Drosophila melanogaster: one gene and its partner. The protein of the gene in region 2 interacts with the protein of the main gene of each other region in a pairwise test. Each region holds a gene or a part of one and is shown on either strand. Other genes may lie near its edges.

What was found. The genes of interacting proteins can lie anywhere in the genome.
Region 1: the proteins of ORMDL (region 2) and RIC-3 interact in a two-hybrid assay, tested with the Drosophila melanogaster proteins (one large-scale study listed by BioGRID).

The regions. Positions count from the first base shown.
Region 1 is NT_033778.4:21,014,956-21,025,303, forward strand, and holds RIC-3 (RIC3 acetylcholine receptor chaperone), read left to right. Parts: upstream 1-2,828; 5' UTR 2,829-2,997; intron 2,998-3,189; exon of another isoform or gene 3,190-3,313; intron 3,314-3,776; exon of another isoform or gene 3,777-3,803; intron 3,804-4,107; exon of another isoform or gene 4,108-4,127; intron 4,128-4,203; 5' UTR 4,204-4,431; coding exon 4,432-4,627; intron 4,628-4,784; coding exon 4,785-4,904; intron 4,905-5,131; coding exon 5,132-5,286; intron 5,287-6,037; coding exon 6,038-6,178; intron 6,179-6,235; coding exon 6,236-6,362; intron 6,363-6,545; coding exon of another isoform or gene 6,546-6,566; intron 6,567-6,930; coding exon 6,931-7,178; intron 7,179-7,378; coding exon of another isoform or gene 7,379-7,420; exon of another isoform or gene 7,421-7,507; intron 7,508-8,109; coding exon of another isoform or gene 8,110-8,210; intron 8,211-8,478; coding exon 8,479-8,631; intron 8,632-8,706; coding exon 8,707-8,799; intron 8,800-9,020; coding exon 9,021-9,170; intron 9,171-9,227; coding exon 9,228-9,362; 3' UTR 9,363-9,963; downstream 9,964-10,348. Other genes in the region: CG9346 (uncharacterized protein), read left to right, coding at 1-172, 233-625; Sou (souji), read right to left, coding at 947-2,245.
Region 2 is NT_037436.4:21,632,565-21,637,974, forward strand, and holds ORMDL (orosomucoid 1-like), read left to right. Parts: upstream 1-2,740; 5' UTR 2,741-2,820; coding exon 2,821-2,997; intron 2,998-3,053; coding exon 3,054-3,205; intron 3,206-3,422; coding exon 3,423-3,558; 3' UTR 3,559-3,687; downstream 3,688-5,410. Other genes in the region: MED1 (mediator complex subunit 1), read right to left, coding at 1-275, 352-1,632, 1,698-1,731; CG32444 (uncharacterized protein), read left to right, coding at 4,422-4,748. UniProt on the Drosophila melanogaster protein: Negative regulator of sphingolipid synthesis.

The DNA.
Region 1 (10,348 bases), on a different chromosome or scaffold from region 2:
TGGAGAAGACAATCCGCAAAAGTACACCGACGAGATGCGTCAGAAGTTAAGAGACATTGAGTCGAAAGCAATTCAGTACCAGGACGAACTGGAGTCCGGAAAGCGCCGCCTGGAACCAGGTTGGAGTGTCCCCGAACAAGTGGAACAATTCCGGAAGCGATTACTTAAACAGGTAAGATTTGTAACATACAGTAAGTCGGATGTAACAACTGAATTCTTTGCGAACGAACAGGACTCGCGATCTGAGGCAACTGTAGACTCCCCGCTCAGCTACATGCACATAAAATCCAAGAGCTCCAAGGTGAGTGAGAGTCCAGCGCTGTTCAGAAGCAGTTCCCGCAAACGATCCCACTCGCCGTTCTCTGGTGGCGAATCCAAACGACGTGACTATTCACCCGAAACCTCGCGCTCATCCAAATCCTCGAAACGCAATCGGTCGCGTAGTCCGTCCAGTTCACCGAAGCGGTATACAGAGCGGTCGTCTCGCAGCTCCCGCTACGAAACTCCTGCCTCCGGATCGTCGCGATCACGCAGTTCTCCAACCTCCTCGCGCTCCTCTCGCAGAGAAGAGCCATCGCCGCCGAGACATCGCAGCGACAAGCACAAGCACAAACATAGGCACTAGAGTGTCTGCTCTTCGGACGATTTGTATTTAATTAAACATGGATTCTACATAAAAACACTTTCGTCGTTTGTTTTAAATACACAGTATATATAATTTTAAATCTAAATCGTTTGTTAGGAAGTGGGACACACGCAAAACAGACGGCCCAGGCAGTTCGATTCCGCTCTGCGAATTTGTCTAAAAACATGAATCTAAGCAAGCTATCTTAAAATGGTTACGTTTTGTTAAGGAAAGCCGGCCAACCAACACCAGTCCTCGAACCGCCTGAGCCTGGTCATATAAGCAGTGGTGATTATCATAAGGTGAATACATAGATGTGGCTTAAAAGTAGATGCGAACAGCCTCCTCGGCATTCTGCTCCACGGGGCAGTAGGGGCACTTCAGTATGTGGCCAACACTCAGCTTGTGCAGGGCGTCGTTGGATATGACATGACCGCAGGTCAACTTCTTCGGCGGATTGTCCTCGGAAGTCTGCTGGCGCAATATGGGGCAGGCAAAGATCGAGTGGAATCGGAATTCCGGCTGCAGATCGATCTCAATGGGCAACTCGTCGCAGCCGTTCCACATGCCAAGGACTTGGCGCGACTGCATCACCTGCTTGATATTGAGCAAGGCGGGCAGGGCAGTGCATCCGGCATTGACCACAACAGACAGGGCGGAGTTCTTGCTAATGCCTAGCAGTTGGCATGCGTCTTTGAGGAATATGAACGACAGTTCGGTCCACTTCTCCTGGCCCAAGAAGTGCTTGTAAGGCGAGTTCTCCAGTCCACTGGGCAGATATATAAAGCTGGCCATCAAGTTGGCTATTTCGTGCTCATAGCGCACAGCAAACTTCTTGAAGTTCAGTCGAGCGTAGGAGATGGCCTCGCGCTGCGAGTCCAATCCGTAGGAGACCAGCTGCATGAAACGCATGCGGTGCAGCCGGAACTCTATGAGCGAGTGGCGGTCACTCAGCTGCTGGGAGTACATCTTTGCCCACTTGAGGGCGTCAGTCAGATCCCGCTTTTGGATCTTCACCCAAATGCCGTAGATGTCGGCAAACTCGCGCTCCGAGTCGAACACATCCTGGGCATGCTCCGGCGACATCTTGCACTCGCGGATTAGCGTGCGAGCCACATCGTCCATGCCCTGGCGACAATAATGCTTGGCAATGGCCTTGTTCAGCAACATCAGGTTCTCCTCGTCCTGCAGCACGTCCACTCGCATGGTGGACGAGAAGTCGGCGCTAAAGTTGCGGTCAATGGCCTTGCCGATCTTCGAAATGGAGCCGTGCAGATCGCGGTGCTCCGTGGACAGTTTTTGCACGCGCTCGTGGCACCTGGCGAGAGCATTCCGGACGCTCTCCACTTGGCGCTCGGTTAGGCGTTGTGGTGCCGTCGGTTCCGTCTCCACCTGCATGCTCACCGCATCGCCCATGGGATCGTCCTGGGACACCTGGGTGCTCGAGTTCAGAGTGGTCACCAGCTGCTCCGCCCTGCTGAGAACCTCTACCAGCTCCGACATCTGTGTGGCTATATCTCCGATGTCCGCCTCTGCGTTCTCGTGAAGCTGCTCCAGTTTGCTGACCACTCGGGTCAGGTCCTTCTCCACCGACGAACAGGCCAACGACTCGCTGTCCATTGTTAGCTCCAGTTTCGTGGGGTGAAAGCCTAGAAACCAGTCACGCCAGGCGCGCGTTCACTTTCGATTTTACAACCTTTTGCTTTCGAGGATTGATAGCACTGTGATTCTTCAAAGTCACGACGATATTCGGTGGTCCAGCGGAAAATGCGTATTTATAAATTGTTAATTTTATAACACAAAGAAGACGAAAACATTGGAGCTGGGTGGACCACTCACGATGCTATCGATAAATCGAATAATTTTAATTTCGATAAAGGGCAACAGTGCTGAGCGAATTAATATTTGTATATTCCGCATTTTACGTATTACCGTTATATTGGATCCTTAGTTGATCCTTAGTTATATATAGTTAGTCTAGTTTAACATCATAATAATGCATAATAAAGTAACCATTTTACGAACCAAATATATATTTGACCTTTATATATTAATAATAATGTGATTCCATTTAAAACAATTACAAATATACAAAAATTTATTAAATCCCATAAGCCTTCTATCAGTGTAAAGGATCCGTTAACTTTAAACGATAGAAAAGTATCGATAGCACTCGCATGCATCGATTGACAGCCAATGCTGCCCATCTCCGTTCGGTCGACTGAAAAATCAATTATTATTGCTGCTGCTTTCTGGCAGAGAAACTTATAACGACAAACAAACAGTTTGAAATTAGCGTAATTAGATAAGAAAACGAACTTTGAAACCAAAGGTGTTAGTCTTTAAAAACGAAACTGATAATTATTTAAAAGGTACCTCAGAACACGAGAGCAATTCCAAGGACAAAATCTCCACACTTTGAATTCATAATTTTTAAAAATAAGTGATGAGTCTTAAGCCGAACGGCATTGAACCCAAATTACAAATGCTGTGCCTCCAAAAATAAAAGCGCAGAGAGCTCGAAAAACGTTTTCCAAATTAATGTAGACAGTGACAAGAAGAGGGAAATTTTTAAAATAAAAGTGGTGGAAATAAGAAGATGCTGTGCAAATAACAGACGTGCATAGTAAAAACAATTTTACTTTCGCCACTTTTCAGTCAGTGCGCTTGAAAGCGAAATGGAAAACGGTCGGAAAACTCATAGCACTTGGCAGTGTGTGTGTGCGTGTGTGATAACAAGAGCGAAGAAGCTGCGAAATGAAAAATATGAAAACACGAAATTTCGCACACAGTGCTGGTCAGCAAAACAGCAGCAATAGCTCAAAAAATTAAATTTAAAATTATATTATAAAATTTTTTTGCTGAAATATTTCAAATTAAGTTTGCCCAATTTCCCAAGCAGTTATATGTATTTTGATTTAAAATCTATTTCCGAAATGAATTAGAGAGCATTAATGTTATGTCGGCTGCTGTAGCGTAGCTCTCGGAAATTCCCGGTGCAGGCCCAAGCTGCAAATCACTTGTCTCATCAAAAATAAAGGAAAATAATGGCCGACGACGATTATGGGGAAAAGCGCGCCCGAATGGTGTGTCGGGTCTTCAGATCTGATCTGCCGAAAATTCGCTAATAGTTTCAAAAATTTGCCTGGCCAGTTCGGGAACAACATTCGAACTTTGCGTAAGCAGTCGCTCTGTCCAGTTTTCTGTTTTCATTTTTTTTCGAACCCTTGGTCGTTCAAAAACCGTTTTCCAAAAGCGATACGAAAGCATTTTCTTTTGGAGAAACGTTCAATATTATTTATGCGGTCGTTAATTGTGATTTGTGCGGTGGGAAAAGTGAAAATAATAAAGAATTATTAGACGGGCCGAAAAGAGCGAATTGCGCGAGCTAAAAATAAAAAAGATCGGGACCGCTATTTATGTAATAAACTTTTTTGTTTTCCCGCAACAATATTCAAACGTATACAGCATTTTGCGCTGCGATTCGTGACCGATCAGTGATGTGAATACAACTCCAACGAAAGCCGGAATCAGCGAACTGTAGCGTGTAACCGATTATGCATCTATGTATCTTTCAGATAATGCTTTAAACGTACAGCAAATCAACCATTAGCCAGCCAAAATGAGCCAATGCCAAAGTTAAACAGCAACTAGAAACACAGCGCATAGTCAACAGCTCGCAGGGAGCCATCAACGAACCAAATCGATCAGGAACACATAGCAGAGTTGCCTTAGGGACTAGCTTTAACCACGAACCCATAGCCAAACGAATCCAGATAGCCCACGGAATCCGCTACCAAGCCAAAATGCCCGCTACAGCCACATCCAAGCCGAGAGCTCCGCTCGTCGAGGAGGGCATGACGCCCAAGAAGACCGCCCTGATCATCGTAACCGTGATCGGATGCATTGCCATCCTGTGGCCAAAGGTCTTCCATCCCATGATGTTCGGAGGAGTGCCTCCAAGCCAGCCAAACTTCAAGGATCCACGAGCAGCACCAGGCGGTAAGTCATCAGATTCTATTCACCACATTAGGAGCTAGGGCTTATAAATGTTGTACTTTACTTAATTTCATTTATCATTTATTATTTATGAATTATCATCATGATTTTCTTTTGATTTCCGTATGTGGGTGTTGTTGTTGTCCGGTCGATGTTGTAGGATGTTGTGATGTCGTCCTGGACAGGGAGCAGTTTCTGAATGCCACGAAGAAGGACACTGTCGAGCCCTTCGGTCCGCATTTGTATCGCAAGCAAATCAATGTTTACACGGGCGAAATAAGTATGTGGCTCGATTATTTATAATTTGCTTATTGGTTTTACTAACGGTGTTTGGCTCTACTAACAAGATTGTATCTACATGAAACAATCGATTGAGATACATTTAGATTCCTAACCTTTACGGTATTAATGAGTTTATTAATGTTTGGGTTTCTAAAATGTAGTGTTTATGTCAATTAAAAATTTGATAGTTTAATTGTGTTACTAATGAATCCATTGTGGTCGCAGGTCTGCGCCAGGAGCGTCCCGCCCACCTGCATCCGGAATCCATATACCAGGCCATGAGGGAGCGGGGTCGCGCCATTCCCGCCACGCCCACCGTGCCGATTCTAGAACGAAAGACTTCGCCCAGTAATCCGCCTCCGCGGATTGTCGACGGACGGGTGAGTTGGGCTACTATACATTTAACCATACGGTGTGCATTATTCTCCGGACGATAAATCCATAATTATAATATATATAGTTATACTGGTCGGCGGGCTGTGGTCGATGTGATTATAATGACGGCGGGATGAGACATATCCGCGCTCGCGTTGGAAGTCATTTATAAATAGCCAAACGTTTATTTTATTCGGATTCGGGTTTTGTTTTTATGACACTGCACGCAAATTGAAGGCAAGAGACAGCGCTAAAGAAAACACAAAAAAAGAATTTGTAAATGATGAGTGGGAGATCGGCCGAATGTGCTGCTGCGTATTGAACTTGTGCCAAATTCAGTGCGCCAGTTCCATTTTGCTCTCATCGCTACTAGAATGCTAGAATGGCCGGGGAGCACAAATCAGCTGTCCTCGCCTCATGTCAAAATACAACGGGGCGGATACGTAATTTTAATGATTACATGGGTTGTCAATAAAACACAATCGATTCCCTTCTCCTACAAAGACATCAATTCAAAAGATTTCGAAGACAACTGTCTTGAGTAATCTTTATGTCAATATACATCGCGGCGGATACGTAATTTTTATGATTACATAGGACAATAGAATATACATATTCGATCAGTTCAAAAATATCTAAAGACAATTGACTTAAGAAACCACCGGGGCGTATACCTGATACATTTAATATGACCTTGATTGTTGGCGGCATTCTATTGTATTTCAGTAACTTTTGACATATGTATGTACTTTCTAGCCTGGACCCATTCCTGGAATGCGTCCACCCATGGGCGCCGGTGCACTGCATCAGCCACAACAGCGGGGCAGCAGCATGGGCTTCCTAATGCCACTCTACACCATTGGCATCGTAGTCTTCTTCGGCTACACCCTAATGAAGGTGACTCTCTTTGATCGTATATATGTAATTATAATACTATAAAACTCTTACATGCAGATTATGTTCAAGAAGCAAGTTCCCAATGATCCGTACGGAGCGGCGCCTCCAAATCCTGCCTTCCGGCAGGAGGTCTTCGGATCACAGAACCACAGCCAGGTGGAGGATTTGGGCGGCAGCAAACTGGGTGAGTGCCAGGCCAATTCGGATGCCATCTTCCGGATTATTACACTCGTAGTTGGACACACACACACACAATCGCTCTAGCCACCGCACTCACGATTCAATCCTAACCGAAAAAAAATCGCATTTTGTACTCTTCTGCTTCCAAAAAAACCCATGCACACCGAAAATCATGCCACGGTATCAGGCTGGCGAGAGCATCAGACAAGTAAGCCAGATATATATAGATGGTTGCATAGATGACCATAGAGTTTCGTTCGTATCTTGAGTTTCTAGACCTCGACAAAGGCCTTTTGAGTTTTGAAATATGTCCTCCTCATTTGGTATCGTAGTATCGTAGCGACTATGTGTTCTATTTCATTTACCTAGATGTACTCATTCTAGATGTTGTGTGCCTATATACTATTTATAAATATATATATATACTAACCCCGAATTGATCACGCTTCCATGGATATATACATTTATTTTGTTGCCACTCCTGCACCCGTGTAAATACTCCTTAGTTTCGTTAGTCCCTCGATTGATTCGATTTCCGGCCCTGATTACCAAACCGTACGACAATTTTATAGGAGCTGCCACCGCCACTGCCGCCGCAAAGAAGCCGGCCGCCAAGGACACCGAAAAGGAGCTGTACAACGCCAGTGTGTCGGCCACCGAGGTGGCGAGCAGTTTGTCCGCCTCTCTGAAGAGCCACCAGCAGCTGAAGGAGGCCGAGCAGCTGATGGAGATCGAGAAGCTGCGCCAGAAACTCGAGAGCACGGAGCGGGCGATGGCCCAGTTGGTGGCCGAAATGAACACCGATCAGTATGAGGCAAAGGTTAGCATCCAGCATCCAGTATCCAGTAGCTTCCTACCATCGTCATCGAATCGGAAAAAAGCAGATACAGATACAGATATAGCTATACAACGCGACTCAGATACATCTAGTAGCACATCATATATCGTAGTGATTTCAGTTGGACCATCTCGCTGTCATTTGAATTAATATTTGATCTCTTTTGTGTTCTCATTTTCAAGATGATTGCCCTCAAGTTTCTCAAGCGGCAGCCAAACTTCTAAGACAATAATAACCATCATTCAGTTCACATAGAATCAGTCAGTAAAACAGACCAAAATCAGACCAACAACAACTCAGATCACAACTAAGTACAACGAACAAAGTCAACTAGATTATTTCTGTTTTCAATTGGTTTCTAGTGAATAGCTGAATCCTCGGAATGGTTTCTTTTACCCCCCTGCCACATCCTCCCCCCCAAAAAAAGCCTTCAGTTCTAAAACTATGTCACTCTGTCCTTAATCTTCAAGTCTAACAAGTGCATGGAACGGAATTCTCCCGACTCTGTTTCTAATTTAACCTGCTTGTCTGCTGTCGGCATGCGATATATGCATATATATATATATATATAAACATATCTTTTCACATACTCGTATCTACTAACGAACCCAGTCTAAATGTGTTTGCATCTCACTGAGTACTCTCGATCTGAACTAAACTAAACTCTTATGATGGGGACATATTTTACGATTCAAAGCAGTCTTATTCGAAATCTATTCGAACACTATACGTAACTTTACATTGCCAATAAAGATAATCGCAAACATCATTTCATACTCAGAGCTACAAAGAAACAACTATATAAATATTCACTCTCTGTGTCGTTTCTACGTTTTTCATGTTTCTCGCAAAAACACAAAAAAAAAAATGAATGTAAATCCCAAATTGATACCCTGTACTTTCATGGGGCTAGTTGTTACGGCCATACAAGGTTTGATAGACGCGGCCGACGAGCAATTGAATGGCCAAGACAAGCAGAGGGCGACGAGCGACACTGAAACTGATTCGAATAAGGTTAGAGACCTTCAAAGGGTCCGGCACGGCAATCCTTGAACATATAATTTGTAACAAGAACTTAATCTTTTTGTTTATTAACCAAGATCCTTCGACTAATTGAGTTTTGTTGCGTTTCACCTAACCACAACGAATTGAAGTAATTAATGCGTTCGATTTCTGATTTCTTGCGTTTTGAGGCTGTATAGAATTGCTTAGCTCTCACATTCTACTGACTGTTTCGAGAGTGTCCTCTCTAACCGTATTATATCCTGTGTATCCTGTGCAGAAAAACGACAACGAAAAAACGAGGGAGCAACCACTAGACAAGCAGAACCTATCCAATGGACATGCAAGCAGCACCGACCAAAATCCGGAGCAGGAGACCGTGGCGAAGGGAGCCAGGAAACGGCGGGATCTAAGCGCTGAACAGGAACTGACGGTATGCCATTATATACCCTGTATAGCACCTTTGAGTACGTAGATCTTTGCCGTAAATAATCGAATATTGGTGCAGGTACTCGGCATGGAGTTAACAGCCAGTTGCGAGGGCGGCCACAAGTGGACTGGACGCCCTCCAACGCCTGTTTTCCGAGCGCCAAGCGAACATGTAAGTGCCACTGACGCACAGACCCCCCACCACTTTCAAGTTCTCAACTTAACTAGACTAGTTTCGACTAACTGCTACCCTAACGCTTTCAATATATCCCTACAAAAAAAAGTGATTAAACTGGGATGTTTCCTACGCTCTCAACCTCCTCTGCGCATATGTGTTGAAGCTTTTAAATATGTATATCAGAAATACTAAATAGAATCCCTCTTCGATTTCAGTCCAAATTGGAAGACAACTTGCCGGAGCCGCAGTCCATTTACTTGGAAGGCGCTTTGGCCCATGAGTCCCAGATTTTGGTTGCCGACTCCCAGATCAAACGCGAAGAAGTCTACGACTCGGAGCTCAATGGCTCAGCCGAGGAACCAGCCGTATGGATAAGCCATTCTACTAAACTATATCAATTAATTAACTTAATTAACTTGCAGATCATTCTTAGCAGCAGAATGACATTGTCATTGATTAATTTGGACGCAAATCAACAAAATGGAAATGCAGGCAAATCCGCAGTGGAAAGTCCTCTGGCTGATGACATCGAAATAATTGGACACGACGAGCAGTAGATCGATTTTTATATATATATAATTTGGCAATGAACACGACTTGATTCAGACGAAACTAACTAATTGCAAGGGCCGAGTGAAATTTCGTTGCTAATTTCGTTGAACGACGAACATTATGACTGATTGCCACGAAACAGATTTGCCAATAATTTGATATCTGATTTGTATATATATACATATTGTATGTTTTGATATCTTCGTTTTGATTTTAAAACGCCAACGTTGTGTCTACTCCCTCTAAAGTAAACCTTAAAACTTTATGCTCTTGAAAACCTTAATCATTTTCGGTCAAAACTTAAAGCCAAACTTGCATGTCTAGAAAACTCTTTAGCTCGTTTAGAAAACCGCGTCTTTGTGAACTGCATGATTTTGTGTGAATACTCTTAGTTGAAAGTCAATGCAAAACTAGTCTACCATTAAGCTAAGCGCATATGTATTTCAAGCCGCATCGTCTAATCAAAATCCGTAGCTACTTGGCAATGAAATTACCTTAAAAAAAAATCCAATCGATCGCACGTAAATCGTATGATTAAACAAATAAAGTTAGTGCCACGGCGTTTGTGAACCTAGTATAATGAATAAATTGAAAACCGAACTTGACATCCACATGTGTTTTGAATTTTAAATTAATACATAGTTATAATGAAATTTCATTCCTTAATATTTTCCAATTATAATTTTCTAAAAAATTAGTTTTTCAAACTAACAGTGCTGTAACATTTTGATTAACAGAATGCGCCTTACAGCACAAAGAGTGAATTTTTCCTTCTGCTCGTGTGTATACACTGGCGAACAGCTGTTTTTTGTCAATCTCCGCCACAATAATTACGTAAATTTCGGCAGGTTAGCAATTTTTTGTATATTCCACAGTAATTCTGCGCAACTTACCACTAGCCATGCTCCTAAGGGATAGCGTTCACAGAACAATCACTAATGTTCCTTGTGACTGGAGACACAATGGGTGTTCCGTAATTCTTACGTTTGAT
Region 2 (5,410 bases):
CGCGCCATGCAGTTTGAATTCGTGCTCCTCATCCCAGCACTTAAGCAACTTGTAGATTACCATCGGAATGGATACCACTTTGCGCGCGGTGCGGGTTAACTTCTGGGACAGCAGCTCGTATTCGTTGGTCAGACAGTAAACGCTGCACGTGGGCTGACCATCCTCAAGCAGAAAATCCACAGTGGCCAGCGACTCTTCGTACGGGTGCTGCAGCTCAACCGTGATTTGATTAAATGAAACGGCGGTTACCTCCAGTATCACAGTGCTGTCCATATCTGGGACGAATGAGCATAAAAAAAATATTATTATCATAAAACAGGAATGTGGGGGGAAGTGGAGCACCCAACTCACCATTATACTGCTTCTGCTGCTCACGAACACAGCTTGCGAGCAGGGTGTAGAAGAGAGCTTGTTTCTTGAGGAACGCCACGATTCGCGGAACCTGGGCGGGTTCAGTGAAGGGCAGTGATGACACCAGAGTTCCCTGCAGTTTGCGGTTGTCGGTAAAGAAATAGCAGTGCGTCTCTTTAGGTAAATTCACATACAGGCCGCGCTGTGTGTTCTTAATGGCCTGCTTCGATGCAGTTTGTACTATGAGATTAAGCACTGTGGTGGGCGGACCAGGAGGAGTGGCAACTGAGTCTAGACCGGGCAGACCGAGAGCCTTTAGTGATTCCAGGCAAACAGGCATGGGTTTGTTCAGCCGAAGCACAAACGTGGCCGGCATCAGCAGCGAGTTGTTCTGGTTAAGTTGGGCATAGGTGGGAACCTCCAACCCCGTTTGGGCATCGCGGACCAAAGTCACCGTTGGCAAAGTCTGCAGTTTGTTGGCTGATGAGCCTTCGAGATTGATAGTGGCACTCAGTCCGTAGCTGCTTCGCATTACCTGGTCGATGGTGAAATCGCCGCTGGCCAGTTTGGGATCCCCTTCGGGAAGGTGGAGCGGCGGGCAGAAATAAGTAAGCCTCATAGGATGGCCACCGCGACGGGGCAGCACAAGACCCACCGATGAACTTGTCATAAGTGAGTAGCTGTCTCCGGAGTGACCTTGCAGGTGCAGTTGGTATAGGCTCTGGATATCCGTCTCCATGGCCTGAAGCGCTACAAACGCCTTCTTTTTCACCTTGGGCTCGGCATTCAGCTGGTAAATGGAGGACAGACCCTCGAGTTGAACCGTAAAGTCTGCAAAGTCGCCAGACTTGAGGCAGGCCACTAGCTCGCTGGACTGTTGCTCGATCTTGCACTCGTGGTGCACCTTGACGTCCGACAGACTGCCGGCGGCGTCCAGCAGGATCTCTACGTAGAACATGTCCGTTGATATGAAGAGAAGCTGCTGGTCCTCCATGAACTTGAGGCCCAACTGGCGCGAGAGGCTCTCCAAACGCTCCACAAGGCCGTGGCGTGACGTGACCTTGATGTAGTGCTGCAACTTGTCCAGCGCCGACTGCAGCGTGGCCTTGCACAGGGGGTCCAGAGGGTAGTGCTTCTCGATAAAGTACATACGCACCGACTTCTTGATCTCCTCGTAGCTCTTTGGCTTGTTCCGGTACTTGGCCCGCAGCTTCTCCATCATGGTTTCCTGCTGGATCTGCTTGTTCTTTTCCTCGATGCTGGGAATGTGGCTGCCGAAGCCTGTGCAGATTTGTGTCAGTGGTGCTCCGGACATCTTAGTTATGGGGGTATATATTAGTACTTACCAGTCCCCGAGGACTTTGCATTGGATCCGCTCATATCTATGCGTTCCTAAGTAAACTGTATTTACTTAATGATGCTGTGGCATTTTTGACAAAGAATTGCGGCAAATGAAAAAGTTCTCGATCTAAATAGCTCAGAACCTTTTTTCTATGCCTTCATCATGGCAAAAAAATTTCAACGCCAAAACAACAAAATGGCTGATCCTTCACAGTGGCTGGTCACGCTATAATAAAATACTGGAATATAAAACGGAACTATGATATTTCCACTGCGTCATTTGATATTCGATGTATTCTGATTCAAAGCTTGTATCAATTGCCTGTTCAATTATGTATGTTATATTTTTTAGTATGAGGGGTAAATATAATGAAGCAATTAACATCTATATTCTATACATCCTTCTGGTACTTTTACATTCTATTTTTTATGATGTAATTGTGCCTCATTTCCTACTCGAATTTTCTCTTAAGCTACAAGGGTATTGTAATGAACAGAAAAGCTCAAACATTCTTTCGTTAAAAAATAAATTACAGGCCTCATAATTTAATACCGATGATTTAATATTTATTTAAAATTTCCAATGATTTCTAAATGTCTTATTGGCATAAAGTTTAATTTGGGGTTTCTGTTCCAAGAAACCGAAAATGATTATTTAAAGTTTCTTGAGATTTGAAAGAAACTATAATCCTATAAAAATAAATATCAGCTAAAAAAAACTTTAAGGACTAATCAAATAAGTAAACAAATACAGCTTACGACTTAAACAAATTTTATTTCGCTAAATTCATGATAAGTCTTAAGCGTTCCTCTCTTCCTCGTACTTACCTAAACTACGACAGATATACGGATTATATTGAATATAGGTTTGGTCCGACAAATCAAAAGTAGTCATAACCTTTACTAAAGGTAGATGTTATATTTCATAGAAAATTGCAAAAGCTTAAATTCAAATTTTATTAAACATTTAAAGTATTTCAAATTTCTGTTTTCTCTAAATTATTTTGGTATATTTATTATCATCAAAGTGCAGAGCGATATTTGTATGCATGCGCGGTCACATTGAGCGTAAATGATAAATATTTGTTATTAAAGTGTTTCGGAACCAAAGGTTAACAATTCAGCCACATGACGTCCATTGCGGGAGGCCACGGCGAGGCGAATCCAAACAGCTCCTGGCTGAGTGCCCGGGGATTTTGGCTAGCATACCTCCTGGGCCTGCTGTCGGTGCACCTGCTCTTCTTATCAGTGCCCTTCGTTAGCATTCCATGGGCCTGGACGGCTACCAACCTGCTTCACAATGCAGTGAGTGCTCATGGCGCCGTTGAGGAGTCAGTCCTTATCCTAATCCCTCTTGCCAGGCCCACCTGTACTTTCTGCACGTCATCAAGGGCGCTCCCTGGCTGAGCACGGAGAACGATCCCAGCCGGCGTTGGACGCACTGGGAACAGATCGATGACGGGGTACAGATGACCACAACGCGCAAGTTCCTCACAGCTGTTCCCATTGTTCTGTAAGTGAATACGTACTGAAAGTCGGCCAATATAGGTGGGTTTTTATTTAAAAAAATTAAAACTAAATGAAGACTTAAATTCTAAACTTGTTTTAATGTTGATCAAAGTATTTCAATAAATACTTTTTATGTACTGCAGTTTAATTGAACTAGTAATGTAATTGCTACCATATAATGCCTAACATAGAAACTCATGAAATAATTGATTTTTTTATAGTTTCCTACTTACCTGTCTGTACACCCGAAACAACACGGAACACTTTATCCCAAACTTTATATCCCTGGTGGTCGTCACGCTTCCCAAGCTGCCGCAGTTCCACGGCGTGCGGCTGTTCAACATTAACAAGTACTAGCTCCTGTGAGAACGGGCCGCATTTATTTTGTTTAATGAAAATGTACATACAAACTTATATTGATGGCACAGCTCTTGCTCAAAAATGTAAATATTGCTAAATAAAATATTTATCAAATTAAATAATTCTAAAAATCGCGTTTCGATTTTTATTGCATAAATAATTATTGATCATGGAAACTACAAATCATCTAAAAGATGTATTTGGGGGCCAGCACATGAGATATTTTATAACCCATTATGTCAGACGATTAAGTAGAACCATGATGTAGTTCTTTAGCCCAAAGGATTAAACTTGATCAATCGCTGTACACAGAAGTCTTCGTAGTGACGAAAAGCACAGTGAGTGGGGTGCGTAAGTATAGTACATATATAAGCCGAAAGATTGAAAACATGAAAGAAAAACCCGTTAACTGATTTTTTCTGTTAAATATTCTTAAATATAATCATACAACATACAAAAGTACTGCTATCAACTTAAGTGGCGAAAAATGATTATAGACATACTATACAGATACAATGCAAACACTCGCCGCAAACAAGCAAACAACAACAAACAAAAAGCTTTTTCTGTTTTATGAGCTCTCGAGAAAGTCGCGCCCCTGAAAAACTATTCTAAATTCCAGTCAAGTGGCGATTACAGGACAGCTTATCTCTCATTATTGTGGGCGGTAAAATGCGGGGGATGGGCAATCGACTTCTGACAAGCTGATTGCCCGGTTTGACTTTGAGGGAGAAGCTCGCGACCCGAACGACTTTGGCAATTCATAATAACAGAGGTGTGCCGGATCGGAGTATGCCTGATACCCAGGCAGTTGCTGTCAGCCGTTTCAAGGGGAAGGAACGACACCGAGACGCGCCGAGATGTCGATTACCCTAGAGGAGGAAATCTTCGGCTTGGCCGTGAATCCGTTCACCAAGTCGCCCGAAATGGTGCGCCGGTACACGCTTAAGAACTCCAAGGGCATGACCGTGTCAGTGATCCAACTGGGGGCCATCATCCAGAGCGTCTGCTTGCCGGACGCCTACAAGAAGGTGGATGATGTGTGCCTCGGCTTCGACGACATCGCCAGTTACTTGGCCAACAAGGGAGCCTACATCGGTGGGACCCTCGGACGAGTGGCCAACCGGGTGGCCAATGGCGAGTATACGTTTAACGACACGAAAGTCTCGGTGACAAAAAATATCCAGGTAAATATTTCACAAGTGACCGATTTTTGAATACTATTTGAGATGAGGATTTTTGACACTTGTTTTGGCAAGAGAACTTAGTGTTAGAAGTTTTTTGATTGGTATACTTGTTGTACTTGTACTTGTTGTAAAGTATCAGGTAGAGGAAAGCGATTCCGACCCTATAAGTGGATTTGCAATCAAGGTCACTTGCCAAGTCGACCTGGTTTATTAGTTGAGATAAGGCATGCATATTATAGTGACGAATACAAATACATATATTCAAGTTTGTCTCAGATGAAAAAAGACCCGATATCGGCTGTGCTCAGCGTACTCGGCGACACAATCATTCTTATTTTTTTTTTTTTTTTTTACTTTGCTTTTATTTATTGAATCTTCTTGTATAAGAACTAACAATAAGTTTAAAAATCTTAACTATAACAAGTATTTTTTGAACAGTTGTATTATTTTTCCAACTGTTCTATGTTTAAACGGCCCTAATAATTTATTCGCTGGGTTGGTAGGTCCTTTCGCCGGAGACGGGAACGGCTGCTGAGCTGGATTAGACCTCGCGCTAGGTGGTTGGGGTGCGTGTGAAGCTTGCTATGGTATTTTTCCTTAAGTAATCCTTAAGTTAATCATTCTTATGAGAAGAATACTTTTTGATTTCGACACGAAAAAGA